Coturnix japonica: one gene and its partners. The protein of the gene in region 1 interacts with the protein of each later gene in a pairwise test. Links are inferred from orthologs where the notes say so. Each region holds a gene or a part of one and is shown in the gene's direction. Other genes may lie near its edges. The genes, in order: VIM; SMARCB1; SIRT6; MRPL44; fatty acid-binding protein, adipocyte; YAE1; TXLNB.

What was found.
Region 2: the proteins of VIM (region 1) and SMARCB1 interact in binary tests that used the Homo sapiens proteins (3 or more experiments, as listed by UniProt). The link is inferred for Coturnix japonica from reciprocal best matches to the Homo sapiens genes VIM and SMARCB1.
Region 3: the proteins of VIM (region 1) and SIRT6 interact in a two-hybrid assay, tested with the Homo sapiens proteins (2 studies listed by BioGRID and IntAct). The link is inferred for Coturnix japonica from reciprocal best matches to the Homo sapiens genes VIM and SIRT6.
Region 4: the proteins of VIM (region 1) and MRPL44 interact in a two-hybrid assay, tested with the Homo sapiens proteins (2 studies listed by BioGRID and IntAct). The link is inferred for Coturnix japonica from reciprocal best matches to the Homo sapiens genes VIM and MRPL44.
Region 5: the proteins of VIM (region 1) and fatty acid-binding protein, adipocyte interact in a two-hybrid assay, tested with the Homo sapiens proteins (2 studies listed by BioGRID and IntAct). The link is inferred for Coturnix japonica from reciprocal best matches to the Homo sapiens genes VIM and FABP4.
Region 6: the proteins of VIM (region 1) and YAE1 interact in a two-hybrid assay, tested with the Homo sapiens proteins (2 studies listed by BioGRID and IntAct). The link is inferred for Coturnix japonica from reciprocal best matches to the Homo sapiens genes VIM and YAE1.
Region 7: the proteins of VIM (region 1) and TXLNB interact in binary tests that used the Homo sapiens proteins (3 or more experiments, as listed by UniProt). The two-hybrid records come from large-scale screens. The link is inferred for Coturnix japonica from reciprocal best matches to the Homo sapiens genes VIM and TXLNB.

The regions. Positions count from the first base shown.
Region 1 is NC_029517.1:18,030,649-18,034,879, reverse strand, and holds the start of VIM (vimentin), read left to right. Parts: upstream 1-1,431; 5' UTR 1,432-1,513; coding exon 1,514-2,058; intron 2,059-2,114; exon of another isoform or gene 2,115-2,135; intron 2,136-2,152; coding exon 2,153-2,213; intron 2,214-4,231. UniProt on the Homo sapiens protein: Vimentins are class-III intermediate filaments found in various non-epithelial cells, especially mesenchymal cells. Vimentin is attached to the nucleus, endoplasmic reticulum, and mitochondria, either laterally or terminally.
Region 2 is NC_029530.1:7,053,063-7,056,562, forward strand, and holds part of SMARCB1 (SWI/SNF-related matrix-associated actin-dependent regulator of chromatin subfamily B member 1), read left to right. Parts: intron 1-390; coding exon 391-528; intron 529-763; coding exon 764-891; intron 892-1,183; coding exon 1,184-1,350; intron 1,351-1,566; coding exon 1,567-1,757; intron 1,758-3,500.
Region 3 is NC_029543.1:1,710,488-1,714,513, forward strand, and holds the start of SIRT6 (NAD-dependent protein deacetylase sirtuin-6), read left to right. Parts: upstream 1-1,226; 5' UTR 1,227-1,308; coding exon 1,309-1,374; intron 1,375-2,042; coding exon 2,043-2,170; intron 2,171-2,541; coding exon 2,542-2,724; intron 2,725-2,880; coding exon 2,881-2,940; intron 2,941-3,504; coding exon 3,505-3,600; intron 3,601-3,837; coding exon 3,838-3,918; intron 3,919-4,026. UniProt on the Homo sapiens protein: NAD-dependent protein deacetylase, deacylase and mono-ADP-ribosyltransferase that plays an essential role in DNA damage repair, telomere maintenance, metabolic homeostasis, inflammation, tumorigenesis and aging.
Region 4 is NC_029524.1:7,918,896-7,923,106, forward strand, and holds MRPL44 (39S ribosomal protein L44, mitochondrial), read left to right. Parts: upstream 1-1,411; 5' UTR 1,412-1,452; coding exon 1,453-1,610; intron 1,611-1,689; coding exon 1,690-2,158; intron 2,159-3,142; coding exon 3,143-3,321; intron 3,322-3,546; coding exon 3,547-3,718; 3' UTR 3,719-4,084; downstream 4,085-4,211. Other genes in the region: MFF (mitochondrial fission factor), read left to right, coding at 339-470. UniProt on the Homo sapiens protein: Component of the 39S subunit of mitochondrial ribosome. May have a function in the assembly/stability of nascent mitochondrial polypeptides exiting the ribosome.
Region 5 is NC_029517.1:109,983,698-109,987,742, reverse strand, and holds the start of fatty acid-binding protein, adipocyte, read left to right. Parts: upstream 1-1,245; 5' UTR 1,246-1,320; coding exon 1,321-1,393; intron 1,394-2,622; coding exon 2,623-2,795; intron 2,796-3,019; coding exon 3,020-3,121; intron 3,122-4,045.
Region 6 is NC_029517.1:76,799,809-76,804,005, reverse strand, and holds the start of YAE1 (protein YAE1 homolog), read left to right. Parts: upstream 1-1,397; 5' UTR 1,398-1,498; exon of another isoform or gene 1,499-1,562; intron 1,563-1,623; exon of another isoform or gene 1,624-1,734; intron 1,735-2,874; 5' UTR 2,875-2,968; coding exon 2,969-3,193; intron 3,194-4,125; coding exon 4,126-4,197. UniProt on the Homo sapiens protein: The complex LTO1:YAE1 functions as a target specific adapter that probably recruits apo-ABCE1 to the cytosolic iron-sulfur protein assembly (CIA) complex machinery. May be required for biogenesis of the large ribosomal subunit and initiation of translation.
Region 7 is NC_029518.1:48,828,089-48,831,588, forward strand, and holds part of TXLNB (beta-taxilin), read left to right. Parts: intron 1-1,133; 5' UTR 1,134-1,227; intron 1,228-2,896; 5' UTR 2,897-2,910; coding exon 2,911-3,328; intron 3,329-3,500. UniProt on the Homo sapiens protein: Promotes motor nerve regeneration. May be involved in intracellular vesicle traffic.

The DNA.
Region 1 (4,231 bases):
AGTGCACCTTAGCAGCCCAGCAATCTGTGACAGCTCCCGGTGAGCTGAGTGCAGCATCTTCCCTTGGGAGCCGCTTGCTGCCTCCCTCTGAGCTTTTTGCCTGTGTTCCTTTACTTCTTATCGCCATCAGAACCAAACTACAGCACAGAAAGGAACACAGGCACTGAGCAGCCAACCAAAAATCTCCCACTACAACTTTAATTAAATATTAGGGCTCTGATTCTTCCCATAAGGTACAACACCTGAAGGGCAATAGCCAACCCTACTGTGAGCTGGGGTACAGACATCACTTCACTCCCTGCCCGCTGCTCATGTTTAGGTTTATCAGAACTCCCAACATAGACATTGCTTCTGCAGGGCTGCAAGTTAGAAAAACTAAATCCAGTGGTAGCATTACACCCCATAAGTGCAGATAGCTTTGCATTGTGTCAGTCACTTTTAGAGCAAGGAGGAGAATGGTGTCACCAATCAGATGCATCAGTGTGGGATAGTTCCCTAGGAGAACGTGCCTCGGGCTTTGGGCAGCCCAGCTTTACGTTCCCTAAAGGACAGGGATCTCACCACCTCCCTTACACCACTCCGCACTCACGCTTAAAATGGTCTTGGGGAATTCTTTTACTGCTGCTCCGGTTTTTCCCATCCAATCTTACGCCAACACTATTGGTTCTCCTGTCTCACTTGGCAGCCCGACTGCGATAGTGCAGTTGCAGTAGAAGCATGAGGCATGTCCTGCCTTTGAGGCTCTTTGGGGATCACTTCTAACGAGCTTTTTGTAAGAGCTCTTTATTGAAACAATGACCGTGTGCCTACAGAAACTAAAAGCAAACAGACCCTTGGTTAAACCGCTCCAAGTGACCAGGAGCCCAGCGCCCGAAGGCAGAGCGGTGTCCCTGCTGCAGCCGTGGCAGTGCGGCAGCGCCCGTCCGCAATGGGCGCAGCTCCGCCGGCATCAATGAGGGCGGGCCCCCGGGAGCCGCTGAGCCCTGAGCACGGGACGGGAGGCTGCGGGTGCCGTCGGAAGCAGCTAACCCCAAACCTATCGACGGTTCGTGTTTCTGTCTGCCCGCTTTGGATGTCTGGGAGCCCTTAGTGAATAGCGAGCATCGCTCCCCCGATCCCGGAGACTTTCAGCAAGATACGGAGAAAGGGACGGGGCTCGCACAAAGTTGCACAGACGCATTTTTAAGCGCTCGGCCCGTGCTGGGAGCGCTGTCGGAGCACCGCAGCCCGTCCTGCCCTCGGAATCACTGCGCTGTCGGAGGGGCGTAGGGCCCCAAGGAACCTCGGCAACCGCCCCGTGTCCCGCCGCCTTTGTCCCCGAGCTGTAACCACGGACCCCTTCCCCCCCAGCCCCTCCCCGCTCGGACGCGGCCATTGGAGACGGACGGGGCGGGGCGGGGCGGCGGCGCCCCATAAGAGGGGCCCCGAGTTGGGGCCACCGCCCTTCTTCGCCCGCCGCGCTCCGAGCCCCGCTCCGCTCCCGGATTACAAAGCCGCTCCGTTCCTTGCCGCCATGAGCTTCACCAGCAGCAAGAACTCCTCGTACCGCCGCATGTTCGGCGGGGGCAGCCGGCCCAGCAGCGGCACCCGTTACATCACGTCCACCACCCGCTATTCCCTGGGCAGCGCCCTCCGGCCCAGCAGCGCCCGCTACGTGTCCGCCTCGCCCGGCGGCGTGTACGCCACCAAGGCGACGTCGGTGCGGCTGCGGAGCAGCATGCCGCCCATGAGGATGCACGACGCCGTGGATTTCACCCTGGCCGACGCCATCAACTCGGAGTTCAGGGAGACCCGAACCAACGAGAAGGTGGAGCTGCAGGAGCTCAACGACCGCTTCGCCAGCTACATCGAGAAGGTGCGTTTCCTGGAGCAGCAGAACAAGATCCTGCTGGCCGAGCTGGAGCAGCTCAAGGGCAAAGGCACGTCCCGTCTGGGCGACCTGTACGAGGAGGAGATGCGGGAGCTGCGGCGGCAGGTGGACCAGCTGACCAACGACAAGGCCCGAGTCGAGGTGGAGCGCGACAACCTGGCCGACGACATCATGCGCCTGCGGGAGAAGTGAGTGCGGGGCCGGGGCTGGGCGCGGGGCGGGCACCCACCCTCACATCCCTCACCTCCCTCCCTCACGTCGGCCGTGTGTCGCTGCTTGCAGGTTGCAGGAGGAGATGCTGCAGCGGGAGGAGGCCGAGAGCACCCTGCAGTCCTTCCGACAGGTGGGCGCGGCCGCCGCGGGGCGCTGGGGGCGGAGGGTCGGGGCTGGGGCTGGGGGCTGGCGATGCGGGCTGGCTCTGCCCGCACAAAAGGCGCTCGGCGCAGCCCCTTGGTCTCCCCGTTGTTTTCTTTAGGGGGGTGCCGCAGTCCGGAGGGGAGGGTGAGGCTATTGTCCCACTTTATCCCGGTCTGGCCGGCTCCACAAAAGCGCTCCGACGTGGAATCGCTTTCTGATCCAATAGTTGTGAAAAGGCGCAGCCATCTGCGCGCCGGGCTGAAGGGTATTAATGGTTTCTATGGGATTCACCGAGGAATGCAGATCCAGGCATTATGGCCGGTGTGGTGGCAGCAGATTGAAATAATGGATCCCTTTGTGTTGGAGGGGAGGCTGCCGTGGGCTGCATTCCTACCGAATGTGTAATGGTGGGGGCACGTTCCTGGGGGAGACTCTGTAAAATACTGAACTCGGTTCTGGATGAGCCGCATCACTTTGCACACTCAGGAAACTGTCCCAGATTTGAAGTATTTCCTATCAGTGGTGTCTGCTGATCAGAAGCAGACAATGGGTTCCTCGGGATGAGCTCACAGCAGCTGTCTGTATCCCCTTGATGTGCATTAAGAATGTAGAATTCAATCCCTTATAAGCAAAGATGTTAATGTAAGATACAGTGCACCGGAGTTTGGTCTGTAGGAAGCTGCGGTGTCACACAGCTGAACCAAAGCCGATGTGACAGCCAGAACCAACTGTGAAGCCTGCGGAAAGTTCTGAGCTTAAGTTTTGATTTGTGCAAAACCAGCTCTTGGCGTGGATTGAGGGCTGGTTGGACGAGCAGAACTTTAGGAATGTGCCTTCTCAAAACAACAGAACTTCCTGAAAACTGCTGGGGTGAAAAAACACTGCTATCACTCCTCTGAGCTGGAAGCAGCTGCCCTGTATCTCCAGACAGCTGGGCGCAGGCTGACCATCTTAGAGCTCTGCATAGGCAATAGTAGGTGTCACCATGTAGGAAGCTGTCATTTGGTTTTTAGCATTTCCCTGGTGGTCTTAGTGGGGCAGTGTGGGAGCAGACACATGGCAGGGGCTGGGAATGAGGTGTCCACTGACATTGTGGGGGCTGAAGCTTGAAATAGCAGTTCCAGGTATTGCCTTTAACCCAGGCTGCTGTGTTACTAGGGCTGAGCCCATCCAAGTAGTTGCCAAGTCAGTGCAGATGCATTTCCCCTTTTTGTTTCAAATTACTAGAGTTCAAGCACAAGCTCCTTTGACTTAAAGCTAGTTCAATCATGCGTGCTTCTCTGGTGCACTTCAAGGCACGTCTTCCTCTCCCTCCAAGCAACACAGCTTTGTAAAGGCTGCGGGCTATTATGTGAGCTGTGCTGTGCGTGCCTCACATTCATTGTCTGCTTCCCTGCCCTGTCACTCAGCCTCCAGCTGCTCTGCCCATGCACTGAGCCCATGTAACCACTCAGCTTTACATGTAAAAACTGCAGATCATTGTCTGAGTTGATCAGTGGCACAAATAGTGCATGCTGCTGGGTTTGGTTTGAACAAAAGTATACCCAGTTTTTCCCTGCCACAACAGAGTAGTTCTAACGTGCAGATTTAGAAGAGAAAGTACGCTTGAGAGTTACTGAATTTTTTCCTCTAAACAAGAGATGCCACATTACTTTCCACGTATACTGCGGGGTGTTCTACATCAAATAAGCCTAGGGATTTGGTGACTGCTTTGTGCAACAAAAGAGGCATCATAATTAATGAGGAAGTTATGTACCGCAGCTTTGTCAGATGCTCTGACAGCAGGGAACAGATCTGAGCCCATGACAAGGCACACAGGTCAGCTCCTGGCTAACAAGGGCTTTCCTGAAATAAATGAGGATGTTCAGCCATTAAAGACTCTCTTCAGATAAAATCAATATGTAGTCAGTCCAATTACTCATATGTGTGACTGAAACCTTGTTTGCTCAGGCTATTAATACCTTTTTCATCTACATGGCTCTAAAGTGTGCAGAGTAAATGCAC
Region 2 (3,500 bases), on another chromosome or scaffold:
AAGGATTGGGTTGCTGCCCACATATTACAGGAAGAAAAACATTAGTGTTTGATGATACAGCTCATTTTGCAGTTACTTCATTCCAACTGTAGCAGATGTTCTGCAGAACACTCTCTGCGCATACTTTTTGCTGGAGATGTCGCATTTCTCAGCAGTTCCTCTGTAAACATAGACAGGAAATCCAAATATGAAGCATGTATTGGTGGTACACCTGGATTCGTATGCAGTGGATAGTTGTGGGCCGGAAAATGGAGTTTGAAGGCAATAATGTGGAATGAGTTCTCAGTCCAACTGTCATTAGGAAGGAACTCGTAATTTATGATACTAAGTTTAAAAATAGTGGCAGTGGTGTTCGGGGCCTGCAGGTTAACACAGAGTGTCATTCTGCAGAGAACAGAAGGCAAAGAGGAACAACCAATGGGTGCCGACACTGCCCAACAGCTCTCATCACCTGGATGCAGTACCATGCTCAACAACCATTAACAGAAATCGCATGGGCAGGGACAAGAAGAGGACTTTCCCTCTGTGGTAAGACAGCTTCCTTCTTCAGAAAAGTGGAAACAGTTACTAACATGACACACTGCAGGGGGCTGCTCTGATAGGCAGGTGGCTGCCAGAGCCCTGTAACTTTGTGTTGAGGATTATGTCTAATAATTGAAAAGTTGAAGTATAGGGATGGTAACAATAAAAAGCACCTTCCTTCTATGCATGCCAGATGTATCATTTTCTATTCCACATGCCCTATTGATGTTCTTTGTTCTAGCTTTGATGACCATGACCCAGCAGTCATCCATGAGAACGCATCCCAGCCGGAGGTTCTGGTTCCAATCAGGCTTGATATGGAAATTGATGGACAGAAACTCAGAGATGCATTTACATGGAACATGAATGGTATGTAGGAGGGAGAGTTTCCTGAGACTAGAAAAATACAGTTGCATTCATTACCAAATATGAAGAGAGAACAAGCAAGTCCTTGCCCCATATAGGAAAATCTTTTAAGCTCTTCTACAGTGATGTGTCCTATTCGGCTCTCATGGCTCTTAGCAGATCCCTAACACTTCCATGGATTGCAGTAATTCCTGAATACCTGTAATCTGAAAAGTTAGATGGGATCTTAATTTTGTGTATTCCGTAAGTGGCAGACATTGGTGGCTGAGAAAAATGTCTTCTTGTTCTGTATCAGAAAAGCTGATGACCCCAGAAATGTTCTCAGAGATTCTTTGTGATGACCTGGATTTGAATCCTCTGACCTTTGTCCCTGCTATTGCCTCTGCCATCCGACAACAGATTGAATCATACCCAACTGACAGCATCCTAGAGGATCAGTCAGACCAGCGTGTTATTATTAAGGTAAATTACAGGGAGGCAGTAGAATGAGAGCTGAACTATACTTGCATTTCTCTAGTTTTGTGTTCTTGGTTTTTTGGATTTTTTGTTTATTTATTTATGGGGGAGAGATAGCACAAAGACTTCCCTCAAAACCAAGGAGTTCCTAATTCCAATCCTTTATCCAGGTTAGATTTTGTCCTTGAGAAATGAATGACTCGTTTCTTCCCTTGTCTCCAGCTTAACATCCACGTAGGGAACATCTCCCTTGTAGACCAGTTTGAATGGGACATGTCAGAGAAGGAGAATTCACCAGAGAAGTTTGCCTTGAAGCTGTGCTCAGAGCTTGGCCTGGGTGGGGAGTTTGTCACTACTATTGCCTACAGCATCCGGGGACAGCTGAGCTGGCATCAGAAGACATACGCCTTCAGGTACAGAACTGCCATCTTTCTGGATGGGTGTAGATGTGTTTTCTTACTTCATGGCTGTTAACGTCAACGAATCTTGAACTGCTGACACAGTGTAGAAAGCTTAATTTGAAATTGGTTCTTATAGATTGTATACTATATAGTTCTTAAAAGACTGTTTTATTTCTTGGACATCCTTTTGTTTCATCAATTGGTGATCCCCTAAGCTGGTATTATCTAAGGACCACTGCTTGTGCAAGGTTAGCAGCTCACATGGTTTCATTTCTTCTCACTGTTCTGGACAGTTGTCTGTCTTGAAGTGGCAAGTGAGTCACACGTCATGGGACGGTGAGGTGTTACTGGTGAGCTGTAAGAGACACTGTGCTGCTTGTATGAAATGGATGGAGTCCTCTGGATAACAGAAATGTTAGTAGTGGATCTAACCATAGCACTCTAAATGTACGTGACACATTTGCAGTCATGTCTTCCTCAGGCACAGCCCCTTGTTGCTGGCTGCCTGACTGGTGAAGAAATGAAGAGTTTTGATCTGGAGCCTGGTGTGTTTTGTTCTGTAGATCCTGGTGCCTCTCAACCAGCTTGTGCTTTTGCTCAGAGATCTTTTTGTGGTGGGTGTAGTGCATCCCAGGGCCAAATATCAATGAAATCAGTTTTTGCCACAGAGTGAAAGGCTTTTCTAATTAACACTGTCAGAAAACCTTGTGCCTTCTTCTAATGTCTGCACATGATGAGCCTTGGATACGTTTCTGTCTCATCAGCTCTGTCTGACCTGGGCCAAGCTTTGGTCTTCTGAGCTAAGCCTGACTGACACTGTAGCTCTCTGCCCTGGATGAAGTTGAGGTTGGTTTGATCACAGGCAGTTCTCTTAGCTGGAACGCAACAGTGTCAGGTTTGATTAGTCAGCTTTGTAACTTGCCTCCTAATATTAATTATTTCCAGTTGTGCTGTGCAGAGTTCTGTGGCAATGTACTGCACAGATGTTATCCTCCATATGTTGCTTAGTCTGCAGTCTGTTAAGTATTCCTTAATGTGTGCTGGTGGGTTTTTTGACCTCAGGCCATGGTGACACTTGAGGAAGTTTGAGAGTTCAGCAAGTGATGTATTGCAGAGGTGGGAGAAAGGTGCTACTGGCGCTGGTTTTGTGGAGGTCAGCTCAAGGAAGCTTGCAGCTAATCCCTAGTGTGGTTCACATGGAAGTTAAACTCTTCTCTAGGAGCAGGGAGTTGACTTCTCCCTTGCTATCCATGACAGCAGATTGATATTTGCAGATCTGTGCTGTGGAACAGCTAGAGCAGTGGGTATGTGTTGCTGAGGATGGGTGGGAGCTTGGAGGGCAGTCAGTGGCAATATGATGCCTCTAGTACTGCTTCTTCTTCCCTGCTGCTTTACACATCTACTTTATATGTGTCCCTGGTTGCTGAAGAGTGCTTTGTTTTTGGGGTGGCTCAAATAGGTAGATTTCAGGCCTTCTTTAGGCTGTTGCCATTTTTTAAGGGGGTGATTTAAAAACGAGGAAGGAAAGCACAGAAATAAAGTACAATAGCTGTGAACCATTCAGAGGCAGAAAGCACCTAATTTAAGACTTGCTTTTTTTGTCACAGTACAAATATGCCCTCCTCTTCCCTCTCTTCTTTTTGCAAAGGAGTACTTTTGAAACCTTCCTGTGATTAATGATGTTTGGGTTTTGTGGTTGGGTAGTTCCTGAATTCCCAAACCACAGCAGTGATGGTTGCTCCAAAGTTATTCCGC
Region 3 (4,026 bases), on another chromosome or scaffold:
TCTCCTCGGTGCTGCTTTCCCTTCCTTTATTCTGCCCTGCTCACAACTATGATCCCAGTGGAAGCTGGGTCACTGGGCAGGTGCCCATGTCCCCATGGGACATCCCAGGGCAGATCTCTGTGTCCCCATACCCCCACGAAACCCACTGACACCCCAGGGCAGATCCCCACATCCCTGTGGACAACCCAGGACACATCCCTATGTCCTTGGGGACAGCACTTACATCTGCCTTCCTGAACTTGGCCTTCAGGCTCTTCATAGCAGTCCCGTGGTACCTGGGTTGAGCCTTAAAGCCTCATCTGCCCGCTGGGGTCAGGCTGTAGGGATGTGGCTGTTGCAGAGGGCAGCTTTGAAGGCTTTTCTGCTGCTGCTACGGGTCCAGCTCAACACCAGCCCTGTCTGTACCTTGTCTCACTGCTGCTGGCCCACAGCACGACACGGGGGGGGGGACACACACACTGGCATTGGGTTACCTCTGCAGTTACAGCCCGGGGGGGGGGAACATGGGAGGGCCCAGCACCAGGCAGGGCAAGGAGCACTGACATCCTTGAAACCCCTGCACCCAGACACAGGGCAGCTGCAAGGGAGGGGGTACTATAGCAAGGCTGGGGAAGCCTCAGATGAGGGAGAGAAGGGTTTGAAACCATCACGATGCTTCAGGTTATGTGTTAAGGAGAAATATTTCATTCATAAGGCAGGGAGATGCTGGAACAGGTTGGTTAGAAGTTGGGGATGCCAATTGAAGGCACTCAGGGCTGGGTGGGATCCTGGGGATCATAACCCAGCAGCTGGTAACCCTGACCAGTGTATGGGAGTAGAACTAGATTATCTTTAAGGTCCTGTCCAACCTAAGCCATTCTATCACAGCCCTATTATGGATCTAGGTCTGCAGGCATTGTAAGACAAGGCATTTTAAGACAAGACATTGTAAGACAAGGTATTGTAAGACATGGCTGAGGCCAGCAGAGCTGATGCCCTCTGCCTTTGTATGCACTCATTGCATGGCACCTCTTAGCATAGGCAGCTCCTTGTCTTTTTCCACTCCAAGTTCTATGTTTTATAATGGATGTATTAGCAGGGTGAGGGCAGAGCTCCCTATTGCCAAACACAAAGATGGCGGCGAGGACTTCTCTAGGCGTGACTTTTGCGCATGCGTCTTGAGGCTGCGGCCTACTCTAGGCAGTGCTTTGCGCATGCGTCTTGAGGCTGCGGCCTACTCTAGGCAGGCCTTTGCGCATGCGCACTGATGCCGCGGCCTCCTTGCTCGCGGACCGACAACAATGAGCTCTCCGGTAGCCGGGACGGGTCATGGCGGTGAATTACGCGGCCGGGCTCTCGCCCTACTCGGATAAAGGCAAATGCGGCCTCCCCGAGGTGAGAGCGGAGTGGAGGGATCTCCTTGCATAGCCTGAGGCCTGCGAGGCCTCCATAGGGCCTCCATGGGGACCCCAAGGCCTCCATAGGCCTTGTGCCCCATGGGGACCCCAAGCACCATGGGGTCTTTGGGTTCCCCGGTCCCGGCCTCCGTTCCCTTCTTCCTATTGCTCTGTGTCCGTTGTCACCCCGTCTTCGTGTCCCCTTTATTCTTTAGGGCCGGCCCTTTACCTTGGGGTGGGCACTACTGGGCTGACCCCATCCCTATGTCCCCCCCAACCCCCACATTCATGCTCAATAAGCTTAAGAAAAGCTTTGGGGTGAGGATATGGGGCTGTAAAAGGGTCGGAGTTCTGTCCCATTCTAGGGAGCAAAGAACCGTCCTATAGAAATGAATTTGTGCTGTGCCAAAAATCAGAATGGGCCCATGACCCCCATCCATCGCTGTCCCCCATCCTGCTCTTTTTAAGCCTTATTCCCTCATTTTAAGCCTTATTCCCTCATTATGTACATTTGGCATTAAGCAATGTGAAATTTCCTTTCCTGCGTGGGGTTTCCATTGTGGATGTGATAGAAGAGTGGTTTGCTGACTCTTTGTGCCTACCAGGAGGCATGTAGGACCCATTTCTATATCCCCATTCACGTTGGGATTTGTTTCTTCTGCTCAGATTTTTGATCCACCTGAAGAGCTGGAGAGGAAGGTGTGTGAGCTGGCAGACTTGATAAGGAGCTCTTCCAATGTGGTGTTCCACACAGGGGCTGGTATCAGCACCGCTTCAGGGATCCCTGACTTCAGGTAAAGGCAGAGGGCAGCAGGCACTGTGTGTGTGTGGGGGGGGGGGGACACAACAGCACCTCATCTGAGTCCATCTTCCATCTAGGCTGGGCTTCCTGCCAGCCATCCTGCCTATAGGGAGACCTGTGCCATCCTTTCATGTCCTCTTTGCTCTTGTCTTGTCCTATATCCAGCTGAATCTACCTTTTCCTGTTTTGATTTTAAACTGTACCCACAGAAGCCCTACATGCATTTTGAACTAAAATAACCAGGAATGTGTGGTCCTTGTTTAGCAGTGCCTTGCTTGCACTGATAGGGCTTGGGATGCATTTACAAGCAGCGTAGCAGAGCCTGAGATCTCACTTATTCCTTCTCCTGTCCCATTGCTGCAGGGGGCCTAATGGTGTCTGGACTATGGAAGAGAAGGGGCTTTCCCCCAAATTTGACACCACCTTTGAGAACGCCAGGCCCTCCAAGACTCACATGGCACTTCTGGGGCTGCAGAGAGTCGGCATCCTGAAATTCCTGGTCAGCCAGAACGTGGATGGCCTTCATGTGCGCTCAGGATTCCCACGGTACTGCCTCTCCCACCCTGCCTCCAGGTTCCTTTAGTCTCTCCCAGATGCCAAAGCATGGCTGTTCTCCCTACCTTATTAAACCACCCTGGAACAATGTTTCTTGTGTTAAATGCACAAGGTGTTCTCCATTCATTTCTGTCATTTCTCTCACAGGGACAAGTTGGCTGAGCTCCACGGGAACATGTTTGTGGAGGAGTGCACGAAATGTGGCAAGTACGTGGGCAGCAGCAGGTGGGGGCTTTGTTGTTGTCCTAAGGAACAGTGGAGGGACTGCACAGACCTGGGGCTGCCTGTCAGGAGAGGTCCCTAGTGCAGAGTGCATGGAATCATGGTCAGATCTGTCCCATCTGAATCACAAACCCTGTCATATTGTGGGAAATAAACATTTTGAGAAACCTCTGTTGCCTGGGAAACCCTCTGCTCATTGTGGCAAGTGAGGCTGCCTGCTTAGAGAGGTAACAGAAGGTTGCTGCAGGCTGGGCTTTGCATCCTGGATGGTAACAGCCTCTCTTGGCCTTGGAGCTGATGTTCAAAGCTCCCTAAAAGGGAAATTATTGTAAGCAATAGCTGTGGTTTGAAATTGATGAAGGATTTGGGTGCCCAGCTCATTGCATGTGGCTCTGAGCCATCACCTGCTTCCTTCACTCCCAGGTGTCTGTGATGTGGAACATGCTGTATTGTGGGGATGTTTCACAGCTGTGTCACCTCTCTATGTGTGGCTGCTGTGAGTCACCCTATACGTGTGGCTGTAAATAACACCATCTCTTGTGTGTGCAGGCAGTACGTGCGGGATGCTGTTGTGGGCAGCATGGGGCTGAAGCCAACGGGCAGGCTGTGCAGCGTCACCAAAGCACGAGGGCTACGGGCCTGCAGGTACGTCTGCTGGGGCAGCTATGGGAGTAGGGGTGCTGGATGGGGCTTCCCAGGGTGCTGTGAAATGAAGAGGGGACACAGAGTACCTGGGAGGTAGGAGTGAGTGATTTTGATGTTCAGATTTTGTGTTGCAGGGCGACAGGGGGTCTGGGTTATAGAGCTGTTACTTGTCTCCTAGCCATCTCTGCTGACCATTCCTGCCTGGCAGGGTAACAGTGGTCCTTGTGTCTCTTATAGAGGGAAGTTAAGAGACACTATTCTGGACTGGGAAGATTCCCTGCCTGACCGTGACCTCACACTAGCAGATGAAGCCTGCAGGTACCATATTTAGAATTGAATATCATGACTGCTGATTGCTGCAGCTTGCAATGACCCAGGAGGGTGTCTATGCCCTTTGCATTCTGCCAGTACCACAGCAAGCAGCCC
Region 4 (4,211 bases), on another chromosome or scaffold:
TAAAGCATAACAGTTGATAATATTAAGGAAAAACTGTAATGGTAAAATGGGAGAGCAGGTTGTCTGCTGTAATATAAAGTTATATAACAGGTGTGTTGAGGTCTGCTATCTGTATCCCTGCCACACTGCCTGCACAAATCTGTATTGTTCTGGAGGTCTGGAGAGTCCAGCTCCATTTCTGCTCCTACTCAGCAGGGGCAGCAAGGTTAGTAATTGAAGATGGAAAGTTACATAAACAGGAGTTTAAAATCCATCAAGCACAACGCTAATTCTTAATTAAGCTTCTTGAAAGTCTGGCAACTTTATTAAAACTATTAAAAGTGTTTGTTTGTTTTTAGATCGTCAAACTTAATCGGCGTCTCCAGCTTCTGGAAGAAGAAAACAAAGAGCGTGCTAAGAGGGAGATGATCATGTATTCAATTACTGTAGCTTTCTGGCTGCTCAATAGCTGGCTTTGGTTTCGGCGCTAGGCACAGCTCTGAGAGATTTAGTAGATCAAAATACCAACAAAATTTGCAAAACTCTTTGTTTCTGTTTCTGAATTGTAATGCTGTTTTATAATTCATACACTGGAAACCTCCACCACAGAAAAAGGCTGTAGAAACTGCGGTGTTAAAGGGACACCTCGTTGTTCAGTTATGCTGTATTTAATAGATTCGCATTGTGAATACTCGCAGTATCCTCCTTTGCATGCTTCAATGTAAATACGGATCAGCTGATTTTGAACTGAAGCTTTGTGCAATGTAAGGAGTGTCCAACAGGAATAAAGGCTGGATTTTTGTTGTGGTTAGGAGGGAAAACCCGATCAAATTGGGTTTGGAAGAAACATCAACACAAAGGAATAAAAACAAGGTTTTATTGATCTGTTGTTAGTGCACATCACGGCACTGCTGGTTCTCCTTCAGTCTCACTTGTATCAGAGCTGTGCCGTGCTCAAGGAGTGAGTCCTGTTTCATGAGTATGTTCCTAGTTTAAGGCTGTTCGGGTCAGACAATAAAAGGTCTTTGCCAACATGCAGACTGTCCAGAGGTGTGTAACATGTTTGTTTCTTTTCATTTTAGCTTTCATTTTGCAGATGTTTTTTCTATAAAATACATTTTTAAGTGAGTCGGGCTGTAATCAAAAGATGATGGTGTACGAGAGCCCACTGCAGTGTATTTAATAAAACAAATAATTTAAAGATGTGTTTAAGATTATTTTAATTAACTGTGAGGGTTTGTCTGAATTGGAAGCCTGAGAAGTAAGAGCAGCAGCAAGCAGACAGCTGAGAGCCTGATGTGGGGCTGCCTGGCCTGGTGTGCAGTGGAACTGCGCTGTGAAGCCCATCCGGACGGACAGACAGACGGACCGGTTACTCCGTCGCTTCCTGTGCGCTCCGTACCGCTCCCACTCGGAGCGTTTCCGTCCGGGGGACGCGTTATCGGACGGACCTTCCCTTCCCGGCCCGCCGCGATGTCGGCCGTGCTGCTGCTGCTTCGGGGCTCACGGCGGCTGCTGCCCGCGGCCGGGACGGGGCGGGTCGCTCCGGGCTCCGCGCCGCGCCGCGACAAGAAGCGTTGGGTCCGCGCTTACCTGGAGATGCAGCGGCTGCGGGAGGCGCCGCGCCGGCGGTGAGAGCCGCAGGGAGGGCGGGGGACGCTCGTGATGCCGGAGCCGCCTCGTTCTGACCGCGTTTCCTTTCGCCCGCAGCTCGGAGCGGCCCGGCTGGGATTACCACGCCGAGATCCAGGCGTTCGGACACCGCCTGCAGGAGAACTTCTCGTTGGAGCTCCTCAAAACCGCCTTCGTGAATTCCTGTTACATTAAAAGCGAGGAGGCGAAGCGCCGGGATCTCGGCGTGGATAAAGACGCCGTCGCCCTCAACCTCCGAGACAACGCGGAGCTGTCGGCCCGAGGGATGGAGTTCGCCCGTTCGTACCTGACGCGGAGCTTCGAGGCCGCCCATCCCCGCCTGCCCGCCCCGGGGGTGGCGGCTCTCGTGTCCTTCCTGACCGGGCAGCAGCTCGTGTCCTACGTGGCGCACAACCTGGCGCTGCACGACCTGGTGCTGTGCGAGGAGTTCCCTGCACCGCCGGCCGTGCTGCACAACACGTTCTTCGCGGTGGTGGGAGCTCTGCTGGGCAGCAGCGGGACTGAGAGAGCCGGGCTCTTCGTCAGGGTGCGCCGGACTTAGTGGTGTTCTCTGCTGATAGCAATAAGGGATGGTGTCGGTGGGGGGGAAAGGGCGAAGTTATAGGAAGAAAGGCAAAAAGTGTGTCTTACTCTGTTCCTTAGTGACCAGAGCCAGAGAGCTTGTTGGGTTCTTGCCCCAGAACAAAAAGGCTCAGGCTGCTCAGGTACATTAAGCCGTGCACTCCTATAACAGCAATGCCTTCCTATTTGCTATTGCTCATTAAGGAGCAGTGTTTCCCTCCACGTTTTATGCTACCTGTCAAACAATGAAGTGGTCCCATGTCAGATTACATATGCCTTCAATTTAAAAAAAAATTGCATGCTTTCATTTTAATTTCATATCAAACACACTGAGTTCATAAGTTCTGCACTCAGGAGCACAAAGATCCAAAGATCTTTTCATACTGGAACACTCAGTTAAACTGCAGCATAACAAGGTAGTTTGGACAGCTGTTGTCCTTTTCACTTACTGCTATGTTGGAATGGAGAAGTTATTAGCTAAAATGTCATTTGTGATACAAGGTGGGGTCTGTAAGAGCAAGCAGCAGTTACCAGACAAGACAGTGGTCAGAACAGGTGTAAATCACATGGGACTGTGTGGGACTTTCAGCTTCTGGCAGGACCCTGCAGCACGCAGCCTCTGTTTGGGTGTCCCTACAATCAGTGCTGAGTTGCTCAGCTCGCACTCAGAGCTGCCCACAGCACTATGAGCCCATCAGGCGGGTGCTGCGTTTTCAAGGGGAGCAGGTTGTCTTGGTGTGCACGCTGAGCAGCTCAGCCAGCAGAGCTCAGCAGCACCGACACCTCCCGGTCCTGCTCAGCCATGCTGTAGTGCTGAGGCAGTTTGGTTATTCCTTCCAGTTATCTGCTGTCAGGTGCATTAATTACTCGTATTGCTTTTGTTCACAGGCAGTAGGAGTTAGAGCTGTTGTTCCCGTTGACCTTAACTTCTAAATATTTTTCTGTTTAGGATTTTTTAATTCCCCAACTGATTGGAAAAGACCTGTTTGAGATCTGGGAGGTTGTAAATCCTATGGGTTTGCTGGTGGAAGAGTTGGCCAAGAGAAATATCGCTGCTCCAGAACCAAGAATTACCAGGCAGCTGGGGGTCAGCACGGTTCTGCCACTGTACTTCATTGGGCTGTACTGGTTAGTATGGTATTAATGTAAATGGTCTCTAGTTTCCATTGCTGAATATCCAATAGCTCCTCTTTGCAAGAAAAAAAACAGCAGGAATGTGTGTGCTGGTGCCTGTATGTAGAAATTACATGCAGTAGTGATAGACTGGGGGGAAACACATTTAGCAGCACTGACCCACGGTGTACAGCAGTGCTCAGGATTCTGATGAAAACGTTGTGTTTGCTTTTGTCCCAGTGATAAGAAGCTCATAGCTGAAGGGCCCGGGGAAACGCTGCTGGCTGCAGAGGAAGAAGCTGCTCGCGTGGCGCTGCGGAAGCTCTATGGGTACACTGAGAACAGGAGGCCGTGGGATTACTCGAATCCTAAAGAAGGATGGACAGCTGAAAAGGCCATCAGCAGCAACTAGATAACACAGACTGTTTCCAGTTTCTCTCAAGAATGAACAGCTTCTATGCTGAACTCAGACACCTTCAGGAGAGCAAAGTTCAGTTTGGTTTTCTGATGTCAAGTTCCTGGAATTTTCAAATTAAATATGGTTATAAGACAAATGAATTCTCTTTCTTATATATAATGTTTAATGTCCAGGCATTGTCCTCAACAGGGAAAGTTCCTTTATCTTCCTGAATGGATGTATTTTGGCCGAGAAGTGTAATGACAGGAGAAGGTTCTTAATGATGTTTAATAGCGTGTTCAGAATCTATAGAAAAAAGTGTCTTGTGTGCTTCCTTGGGACTGGTTCTGAGGTGCTGCTAATAAGATGAGTGGAACTTAACGTGCAGCGTTGGTCTGTGAGTTGTGTCTGGATCCATTTGTCCTTGGCCTGGTGAAAACGTAGAACGTGATGTCAGTGGGATTGATGCTGGTGGTCTGGTTTAAGAAAGCAAATGGCACTTAGCAGC
Region 5 (4,045 bases), about 92 Mb from region 1:
TAAAGAAGAGCATTTCAGACTGGAGATGAGGAGCCTCTCTCCCCAGGGACACAGGGCTGGACAGGGAGCAAGTTTCCCACGAGGATGTGCAGCTCCATCCTCAGAGTTGTCCAAGTTTCTCCAGAGGATGCAGCCCTGGGCTGCCCAGTGTGAGCTGGCCCTGCCCGAGGCTGCATCATCCCATCTGAATTTTCCTATAATCTTACAATTATATACAAACAATTTTGTTATTACATCATTATGTCAAAATATGTGGACAAACATATTTGTTTCAGTGATCAGAAGAGTGTATTGAATAAATATAATAAAGAAGAATGTACATGATTGAATGCACGTGTTTTTTTCTGACAGTGTAATAGCGTGTTACAGCCAGAAGGAATGTCTAGTAAATTGCTGCCTCCTTTTTTTTGTGATCTGAGCTAAGATAGCATTAGAGAATTGGTCAGAGTAGATCTCATTATGCTAGGCCCGAATACACGTTGTCTCGAGCTGATAATTACATAAACAAACAATGCAAACAGAAAGAAAATGATAAATCCAGAGACTTTCAGTGGGCTGATACCATTACCTAGATTTTTGCAAGAAGTAGTCATCATGCTGGTCATTGGGACATAGGTCACTGGAGGGAACACAAGTAAAAGCGAGACAAGTCATCAGTTGTGTTACTCTGCATTTCATAGAACACTTTGTCCCCACTGCATCCCAGGAAAGCAGAACACAGACCGATTGGATCTCAGTCCTCAGCCAAGGAAGTAGGACATATCCTTCAACAGCCACCGGCACTCCCACGTTCTCCCCCCAGGTCCACTTTTTCCTCTAGCTCTGTGACTCTCTGTAGAAAATCACTAACTCTAGTTGTGCAAAAAGAAAAGTAAACGATCCCAAGTCTTTCAGATCTTGCAGCCTAGGAATTAACTGTTTTCATACAACATAAAGGATTGAAATGAAAGAAAAGGAATATGGGAGGCAGCATACCCTCTTGGGGTTGAATCTAACTTTTTCTTCTCAGAGAAAATATGATTTTAATATTTGTCTTTATGGTGAAGTGTCTTCTTGAATTATAAAAATAATTAAATAAAAAAACGACAGTGATCTTTGTGCTAGTAAGGGCATATGAATAATAACACTGTGACCTACTGGCAAAGGAGGGGTAGGGGAGGAAGGAAAACACTGGGCACTAAGGACTCCCTCTTTATTGGTCATCCTAGTACATCATGTGGCCGAGGCTCCTTTTTAAAGCTCATCTCTTGGAGCTCATACTATCCTCACGGCTTCTATTTCTGCTTGATCCTGTGAAAGACTGCTACCTGGCCTGACAAAATGTGCGACCAGTTTGTGGGCACCTGGAAGCTCCTTTCTAGTGAAAACTTTGAGGACTATATGAAAGAGCTGGGTGAGAAATGTTACCTGAAATTATTTTATCTGGGGAAGGGAAAGAATGCTGAATTCAAGATCTATTTCGTACTTGCTTTTTCTGGCTATGCTGTTTACTAAGGTCTTTTTAGTCCAACTGCTTTTATTAAATAGTTTTATGCTGGAGAACTTGGCTGTTTGGATTAGTATTGTCACACTCCTATAACACAGGAAAATCCTGATTAGGAGGAATAGTTACAGGTAGGCCAAGTCTATGCATGCCGAACTGGTAGTGCTATAAATGAAAGTAAACATTTTGCTGCAGCATTTTACGTGAATTTGCTTTTAAGCTTTTGGAAGTACAAAGTAGTGTAATGCTAGAATGCAGCCAGCTTCTTTGCGTCAAAGAGCAACACACCTAAATTTGCTCTTGGACTAGGATGCTGATTAATTTTTATGGCTATCAGAGACAGTGTACGAAGCTCTATGACTGTCTCCAGTGAATATTAATGAAGGAAGTTGCACAGATTCATGCAGATACTGCAGGTACTTGCAGAAGATCCAATCAGTAACACTCTAAAGGTGTAGACTTCTCACTTTGAATTAAAATTGGGCTTTAAAAAGTTTGCGTACTCCAGTTAAGATGGGGGAAATGTGGGGTAACTTGCACTGTTTGGATCAGTCCAGGGAGTTATTTAGAGATTGAGGGTAAAGCACTCACTGCAAGTTCTGAAGCATGCATTCATATGGCTTTCAGTGAGATTCTTCATCTTTACCCCAGATTTTACTCAGGACATAAGAGTTGCCAACTATTTCTTAATCATTTCCTTTCATTCAGCCTAGCCACTGGTAAACATATCTGCAGTTTAAGTGATTTTGTATTTGTTTGTTTTCATGGCTTACAAACTGTCATATGTTTCTGCTTATTTACTTTTAGATATAGTGTACAAGTTAGTGCATAAATCACTGCAGTTATCAGGAGCATGCACATGTGCAAATATCTGGCAGTGAAACTTTGTCTCAGTCTTCAAAATATTGCTTTTGCTACTCTGACAACAGAGCATACCCTAACCCTAACCCTAACCCTTATCTCATCCCATCTGGCTTGGTGTATGAACATACAAGCTAATGAGATGTTACAAAAGAACCTCTCCTACATAGTATTAATTAAAAAAAGAAGAAGAAAGTGATGGTGAGATTCCCATATTTTCCCCAGATAAGGGAAAATCATGAAGATAAAACTTTCATAGTGTCCTTTATAATTTACAGGTGTGGGGTTTGCTACCAGGAAGATGGCTGGTGTGGCCAAGCCGAATTTAACTATCACCATCAACGGTGATGTGATAACCATTAAATCAGAAAGTACCTTCAAGAACACAGAGACCTCTTTCAAGCTGGGTGAAGAGTTTGATGAGACCACAGCAGATGACAGAAAAACAAAGGTGAGTCCAAAAATGGCATTTTCCAACCATATATATTTCAAAAAGATTGTTGGAAAAGAAGGACAGAGTTGCTGTTTTGACATCCACTCTTGAAACGCTGCCTTCAAACGTAAATGTGCTCAGACTGCTTTTTGCTTCAGTACTTTTTGGGCATGGAGAAAGTATTCTCTTTGGCCCAAAGCATCCTGATGAAATAGTCACACTTTGCTTTTTTCCTCTGACAGAACGTCATAACCCTAGACAATGGCGTACTGAAGCAGGTGCAGAAGTGGGATGGCAAAGAGACTATTATCAAGAGAAGAGTGGTGGATGGAAACCTGGTGGTGGTGAGTTCTTTTTTGCTAATCACAAAACTCAGAACAGAATGCTGTTTTGATGGATATATTACACTGGATTCAAACACAGGCAATAAAAACATCTGACAAGACTATGCACTGAGAAAGAAGTCTTCTGAACAAGTCTGCAGCATGTATTAAAACTGAAAGGCTCTTAAGCTTATGGAATGATATAGAGGTATCTGCATTCCATCCATAGCGACAAATGGCTAAGAAAGAATAGGGTGAATTATAATCTCAGTAAGGGAAATGTTTATATTTTATAATGTTTATATTTTCTGGACAGGATAGAGAATGCATTAATAAAGTCTGTGTTAGGTGCACCCTCTCTGACACAAAATACTTCTTCTGTTCATCTCCAGTAGACCCCTCCCCCATAGCAATGTCTAAGGGGCATGTTGCAGACTACCAGGAACCTTCCAAATACCTAGGGGAAAACTAACGATGTCCTTGTAAAAGGCAGCTGGGATTCCTACGTGCTAGAAAATGATGCACATACATTAAATTCTTGTAGAGTTCTGCCTTCCCTAGAGAAAATGATGTGTCTGCAATTTTAATACTTTATTTGGATAAAGACCAAAGGAGAATAAATAAGAAATAGTGTTTGATAACGAATTCATTAGAAAAGACTAAAGAGAGCAGAAATTGATGTAGCAGAACAAGAGATGAGGACAGAGCCTAAAATGCAGAGGATGACACACGCAGCTGTAAGTTGCACTGCATACGTCTGTGTATCTGTTGCACACACATATGGAGAAGATGAGCCACAGCTAGAGAAGGTGAGGGGACAAGAGACAACTGCCTATATCAAAAGTGCTCCCTGGGTGTTAAGGCCCAGAAAGTGAGATTAGCAGTCTCCTGGGGAGGCCAAAGAAGTCCTTTGATGTTGCTTTAATCTTAGGCTTCTATGAATAT
Region 6 (4,197 bases), about 59 Mb from region 1:
GGAAATCAACCGGTTCCTCCTTTGAGTTGGGTTAGAGGCACTGATGGCTGAAAGATGAGCGTGTGTGATACTGATCTGAATGGCAGCAATCCTTTATCAGAAGCATTATGCACAGTTATAACTGTAAAGGTTTTTACATTCATATACTTTACTTTTGGATATCTCTGCTGGCTGACTGCTTAATGGCAGCACTTAACACTAAGATCAAACTGATAAAAATCCTTCATAGTCTCATAGTCTCGTGCGGGTTGGAAGGGACCTAAAAGATCACCGAGTCCAACCCCCCGGGATTCGGGCCTCTGTGTAGCAGAGCGGCAGTTCTACCACTTGCGCCACAGGGGGGATTCGAACCCAACCCTAAGCTGTTGCAACGCGGCATTTCTACCACTGCGCCACCGGGAAACACAATTCCTAGTCATCTCCAAGAATGCCTTAACAATCCTAAGCTCTGCACAATTGTGTAATGGCCCCCTGAAAACTCCCCCCCACACCCTCCAGGTGAGCAGAGAGTAACTGCTGAGCCAAGCATTTATGGTTCTAAGGTACCTTTGTATGCCAGATATCTGACTGAAATTATCCAGATTTTAATATTAGAAATGGCAATGAATCACAAATCAATTCCTTGTTTATTTTTCACACTGTGGGGGGGGGATAACTCTTCTTATATACATATTCTGCAGAAATGCCAGAACAGTTCTGTAGCCTGTGAAATATTGTTCATGTGTTTTAATCCTCTGGTATGTGTCATTGCAAAACATCACCATAATACCCAGATGTTGCTTTATGTAGAACACACACAGGTTAGGAAAACGCCCCCACTCTGAGGCACTACACCTCACTCTCAAGCCCTGCTAGTAGTCATGTCAAGGCCGTCAGCATACAATTAACTTGTCTTCAGCAAGTACACTTCATAATCCAATAGTGCTGCTCTGTTTACACAATATGAGTCACTAAATTATCTGCTTCTAAAAGAAAGGGATGGGAATATGAGCCTTCATCATTATTCCTCATATGCACAAGGATTTGTCCTAAACAGACGTGTGTAGAATTATCAACCATGGTAAAATTAAGGCATTTAAACTGAGATAATCTGAATATGGGAAACTCACACTGACTCTGAGGTATGACTTATACACCTTTCCTAGAATATCAAGCAGCTGAGGGTAAAGAATAAGGTGATAAGCAAGAAGTAGGGCCGGTGCAGCAGCCCCGAGCAGGAGCACCCACATTCAGTCCTGCCATTACAACCACGCTCGCACTCCCTCCATGGGGCAAGGTCCTCCCTCCCCGGCCCGCCTCCTTGCGGAAGCTGTAAGTCTATGCCCTTACTCAAGATGGCTGCCGGCGTCCTGTGACTCAGACGGACTTGGAAGTCACGGTGCTGCTGATTAAGATGGCGGCTTTTTACGGGCCGCATCCGGGGCAGCGAAGTTAGCGTGCCCTCAGTCAAGATGGCGGCCCCCTGCGAGCGGAACAGCGCCGTGACTCGGCGGCCGTGGTGAGGGCTGAGGGCGGCGGGGACTCAGATGGCGCCGGCGAGGGGGGATTCTGGCTGCCGACAGGTCGGAAGAGGGATAGATCTTCTCGGTCCTGCAGTTTGTGGGGAGCTGCGGCGCCAGCCCGGGCTGTGAAATGGCGGGTTGTGGCCTGGCCGAGGGGCCTCTGCCTGGAGTCCCCCGGGCCAGGCTGTGCCTCCTCCCGTAGGGCCCTCAGGTTCCTCCTGCTGGTCTCCAGGTGTGCCGGGACGTGCTGGCATTGGGGGATTGCGGGCCTTAAATGCTGTTGGTATCTTCTGCAGTCAGTATCACTCTGAAATCTTATCATAGAGAACCAGGTGTACAGCTCTCTCATCTATCCAGCTCACTTTTCTTATGACATACCGAACAGTTTCTTCCTTCCCGCACCTGCTACCTTACACCATTAATTGCTGCATTTTGTTCTCCCTTCTCTGCTCTTTGTGTAGGGGCTATTTGTGAAACTCACTTTGGAGCTAATAAGCTGTCACTTAATAGAGATGGTTTAAGGAAATATAACATCTGGTAGCAAGTGCTGTCTTGCTGAATATCTTGAAAAATAATCTCTCAAGCCTGAGGTACTGTTGTAAAGTTGTATTTACTTGGATGTTTTCACCACTTTTTGATTGGACATTGGGAGGGATAAGCTGATTAAGCAGTCAGTTCACATTAGTGAACTTTGTGTATAAGAAGAACTGCAGTTCTTGGACCAGTTGTTTAACTGCTTTAATGCTTTCCAAAAGACTCTGTGTAATGGTACTGGAAATTCTGGAAGATTTGCTTAAGATAAAAATTGGATATGATGAACCCAGAAGCGTGATTTCACCACACTTCCTTGTATCCACCATTCTGTGGGTTGTAAGAATTTGCTCCAGTTAACTGTGAATGGCCTCTTAAGGTCTTATCAGTTCCTAAGATGAAGTAATCACATTATTTATTCATCTCTTTACATCAGAACTTGCTAACTAATTATTAAAAAAAAAAAAAAAAAAAGTAATATTTTTATTCAGGATTTACAAGCATTAAGCATCTGGCAGAGTTAGGAAACTGAAGATCAAAGGTGCAACTCATCATCAGTTGTCAAGATCACAATATTGCAGGCAATTAGATATGCATATAATTTAATGCACTGCTTAGAAGCTGCATGGGACTATTTGTTGGCTGCTATCAAAATTTTATAGCTCTGGATAAGTGTTTCTGTCTGCTGTTCAAGTTACTAGCAACATATAGAAATGCTAATTTGGTGCACTTCTGTTTGTTGCTGACATAAGAAGCAAAGAAGGGAAGAAATTAGTCTTAAGTTGTCCTTGTAAATCACACAAGGTGCTTTACTGGTAATAATTTCTGTCTCCTTTGACAGATGAGCTCCAGTGAGGAATAGCATCCAGTTTTCACATGGAAATGAATGTACAGGTTGAATAATCATCCCCTGATACGGCTTCTCTTCAGAACTCATGTTTTTTACTTTTATTTCTAATCTGACACTTAGCTGGGAGACTTCTGAGAGTTTCTCAGTATTTGCTTTAGGCCATAAACAAAAGTTAAGTGTCATCACTGCTGCTATGTCCTGGGTACAAGTTGTAGCTAGTCGATCCAATGAGGACATATTTGATGAAGATGCAGATGAGATGTATCCAGTACAGAAAGAATGGAATAACACCATGAAAAAAAGATTGAAGGTATTTCTCTAAGCATGATTTTTATAGTCTTTTAAAATATTTTAGGTTTACCAGTAACATATCTTGCTAAAAATATGGCTGATTTAAATGAGAAAACTAAGAATGGCTGTATGAAAGTTATTGTGGCTTGGTTTCTTCTGAGTGTTAAAAAAAATTTAAGAGGAAGTTACTATCTTCAGTAGCCTGTCAGGACAAAGTAATGTTTTACCAAAAAAGATGTTGACTCCCTCTACACAACTATGTGCATTTCTGAATGGCAGTGCTAAATTCTCATGTAACCTACTTGCTTCATACTTGTAGGTTAATTGATGCTAACAAAGAATAGAGGATATTTGTTGGTGTTTTTTTGTTGGGTTTGTTTGTTTGTTTTTTTAATATTTGGTGTGAACTACTTCAGGTCTGAGTAGTTTTTTGGCTTATTTATTATCTTAGTGAAAAATACATTTTATGAAAGCAGAGAACAAAACAAATACATAAACTTGGGTTTCTCTGACAGATGTTTTCATTCAAACTGGGCCCACTAGGGCTTATCTTGTGGGTGAAGAACATAAATGTATGGTAATGTGATTAGAGGAGAAAGAAATAAATTTCAATTCTCCAAGGAAACTTTGTTAAGGGAGTTGGTCAGCACAAAAGTAAAAGTGCTTTCCTGTAGACAAGTCTTTATTTTCTGACTTAGCTGGAGGTTTGTTTAGAAATGAACTGCATGTTAACAGATCAGCAGCATTAACAGTAAATTATAATGCACTGTAAAAAATGTGTTTTGCTTTAGCAGTGGTGTAGTTGAGTGCAGTGTTCAAATTAAAAAAAAAAAAAAAAAAAAAAACTTGGATTTAAGAGACTAAGTGCTTAAGGTTTTTTATTGTTGTAGAAGTGTTTGTAGGTCCAATTCTGCAGGCTGTGAAAAGTGTGTTTTACCACTTCTGTTATAGGAGGGCTATAGAGATGGTGTTGAGGCTGGGAAAGAGCTTGCAATTCAGGAAGGCTTCAATCAAGGTTATAGA
Region 7 (3,500 bases), on another chromosome or scaffold:
TTGTTTTGTTTGTTTTCAAAACATTCAGTTTCTCTTCAGTTCACCCACGTGTTTCACTTCTAACTGAGAAACACTGTTTATAACTCAATCATTGCTGCTGATTTAGAACCTACTGTGTTTGTAGGCAGTCTTAGTGATTCACTTAGGAGAAGAACCTTAGCCAGACAGTGATGCTTCATGAGTGATGCTGTTAAGACTTGGAAGAGAGCCATGAGCCAGCATGATGACATGGCTGACGGAAGTAGGGACTTCACCGCAAGGAGCCATGATATGGGTTAGGGTCAGGGCTGGGTATGTGGGGAGTTCAGAGATAGATACAGATTGCAAACCCACCAGCACTTTCGCAGTGATAGGGCAGGTCCATAGGCAAGCAGGGATGCCCTACTGATGCATTCAGGTCTGGGACAAAGCGAATAGAGGCTGAAGATGCGCATAGGTGCGTCTGGGACCTTGCTGTGATCGAGGGGGCTACTGGTATGCCCACAGCTGAAAAGCAGCTCCCAAGGGAAAGCAGGGCCAGGTTCTGGCTTCCAGTGCTCTTCACAAGAGCTCTTAGTGGAGAAGAACTGACATAGGACACAGCCATCCCACTTCATGTCTTCAACAAGACTTCAGGGGTTCACTACGAGTCCTGATAGAAGGAGCATCAACATGTGCCTTCTTACAGAGAAGGGGAGGTAGGAAGAAGAGAAACTCGTGTTTGAGAGTGAAGCATTTGTGATCTGATTATCCTTCTGTGTTGAACATATTACAAAACAACATGGCTTAAATTGGGGATATATTTCACAACATTTTTTTCCTATCTAAACAAGAGCTGATGATCCTGGATTTTCTAGCTGATTGATTGCCAATTGCCAATTACCTCAAATTAATGAATACAATTGTAAATACTAGCCTGAACATGTCAGAAACAAAAACATATTTTGCAGAGCTTCTAGCTTAGCATTTGCAGTAATATTACTGAAGTGGTATTAATTGGCTGTCAATTAATGCTAGTCAAAACAAGATCACAAACGTCTGCCTAACCTGAAATTGCTTACCTAAATTGTACATGTAAGGCCTAATCTTTCAAGATAAACTGAAGTCAGTAGGACACCAAATCTGACCAATATAAGTTTACCATCACTTTTCAGACTGTGCCAAATGTAGAAAGGAAAGAATCAGATGCATCTGCCTGATGGGGTCCATGAGACTGCATCCAGCTGTCTTTCCAAGTCATTGCTGTTGGTGAGTTGTGTTTGGAGGGGGCCATGGTTCTGTAGATACCAGCTTTTAGGCACATCTTGAGCCACACTCAAAGCTTTCAAATATAGTCTTACAGTGAATTGCTTTAGAGATGATGAAACATAATATTTGAGTACCATATCCATAAGTCTGATCAGATATCTCACCAATCAAATCTTGAAAAGTATTAGCCTTAGTAGTGACAGTTACTGCAGTACTGAGAACCACTTTGACTGGGGAGATTTTAACAACAAACACCATGTCATGTATAACAATGAACTACAACTCTGTTATCACACACTGCCTTTGGCCAAGTTTGTTTATGTCTCTGAAAGCTGCAGAAGCTTAGACACCATAGCAAATATATGTTACAGCCAACTGAACAGGAAACAAAATGCTTCTCATTTAGCTCCATATTTTCAAAACAAGTTGTCTTTTCAAAAATAAGAAAGCAGCTTCCTTAGATCTGACAAAGCAATATCCTTCCTGTTCCTTGTCCCCACTAAGTACCTGGCTGACATTATTATGAATCATATAATTACAAGAAGGAATGTTGAAACACATCATCCACCACCTCACTGCTCAGCATTCAGCAAGTGTCGATGAATGTGCCAATTCCACATGTTTGCTTCATCTGTACTTTATCAAAAGAAAAAGCACTGCGTATTTTTCTCTGTTCACAGGACTGTGTCTAGCCAACGTATCAAAATCCATCAACGTATCTGCCAGCACTGTGAGCTGGCACTGCCCTGTGCCTCCATGGGGCTGATAGCACTCCCATGTTTGGTTGGTGCTGAGGGGCCGGGCTGCTGCCATGATGGCATGGGGCAGGGGGAGGCCACAGTGCCAGCTGTGCCGGGCTGCATGCAGCCTGTGGGCTGTGGGTTGGATGTGTCTGGAAAAATGCAAAGTCTCCACTGCAAGTTGGGGAGCCAATTATGCAACATTCAAACCAGATACTAGCATTGAATATCAATTTGTGTTACACCTGGTTGATTTTACAATGCTCTGATTTATTCAGCGCTTTGTACTTTATCAAACAAGCTGTCAGCAGTGCACTGCAAGTACAAGAGAAAGGTGGTTTGTAGTTGTTTATCTTATTATGAACTGTTTGTTGCTGTTACTATGTCACTGCCAGGCAAGGCCATTCACATATCAAGCATCATGCTGGGCACTCCAAGAGCATAATTCTCAGTTCTCTAGCTTCTTCTAAAAACTTCATTTTCCTTATTATTGACTTAAGATGTGCTGATGGGTGAGAAACAGGAAGTGAAAGTGATGCAAATCTGAAGCAAAGCTGCCTGTGTCAATAGCCAGTATTGCAGGTGAAACTAATCAAGAAAAACAAGCAAGTGGCAAATTGTGTTCAGAGAAGGAAGTAGTATGGATGGCTCTGGTGCCCTTTTGTGCTTTATCACTTGCAACAGTAACAAGAGGTCAAGCTTTGTCAGTGTTATCTTCCTCTTGGCAGATGTACAATTCACTTTTCTCCCAACAGGTAAATCACCTCGTTGGTTTGTTTCAGTGTGTTGTATTCATCAAGCCAAAGTGAAAGGATGACCTGCCACACCAAATCCCACACCAGATCACTCACATCCTGGCCAAGCCTTGTGATCACTGAGAAAACTGATTTCTCTGCTTTTAAATTAACTCTATGTTGTTTTGCTGTCAGGTACTGCACCAAGCATGGAGAATGACCAGTTCACCGAGAAGCAGCAGCAGGTTTCCACTTCACCTAGGCAAGACATTCAGGGACAAAGCAAGGAGGAACCTGTCCCCAGCTCACAGCCCCTGCCCCCCACAGACCAAACCAGTGCCCAGACTGAAGCAGCCACATGTGACATCTCAGAGGAGCTGAGCCGGCAACTGGAGGACATTATTAAAACCTATGGGTCTGCAGCAAGTCTGATGGAGAAGGATGGCACTACAGCAGGAACTGACAAGCTGGAGAAGGGAGATGTGGGCAATATGGAGGATGCAGAGTATGAGGATGCAAATGAAGAAAGTGAGAAAGACAAACCAGCCCCTGGAGATGCTTCAAGAGCAAAGGAGCCCAGCACTAGCAAGGAACAAAAGCTGGAGAAGAAAATCCTGAAAGGACTAGGCAAGTGCTTGTGTACTTACATAGCTATTCTGCTAACAGTAGTAAAACCTCCCTGGGCTTCACTTTTTCCTTTTTTAAGTCTTTGCTATGGCTGATAGGGACCACTGAAAACCACGGCAGCTGTCATAACTTTATTTGATAAAAATTGTCAGCAGTTACCTAAAAGATACAG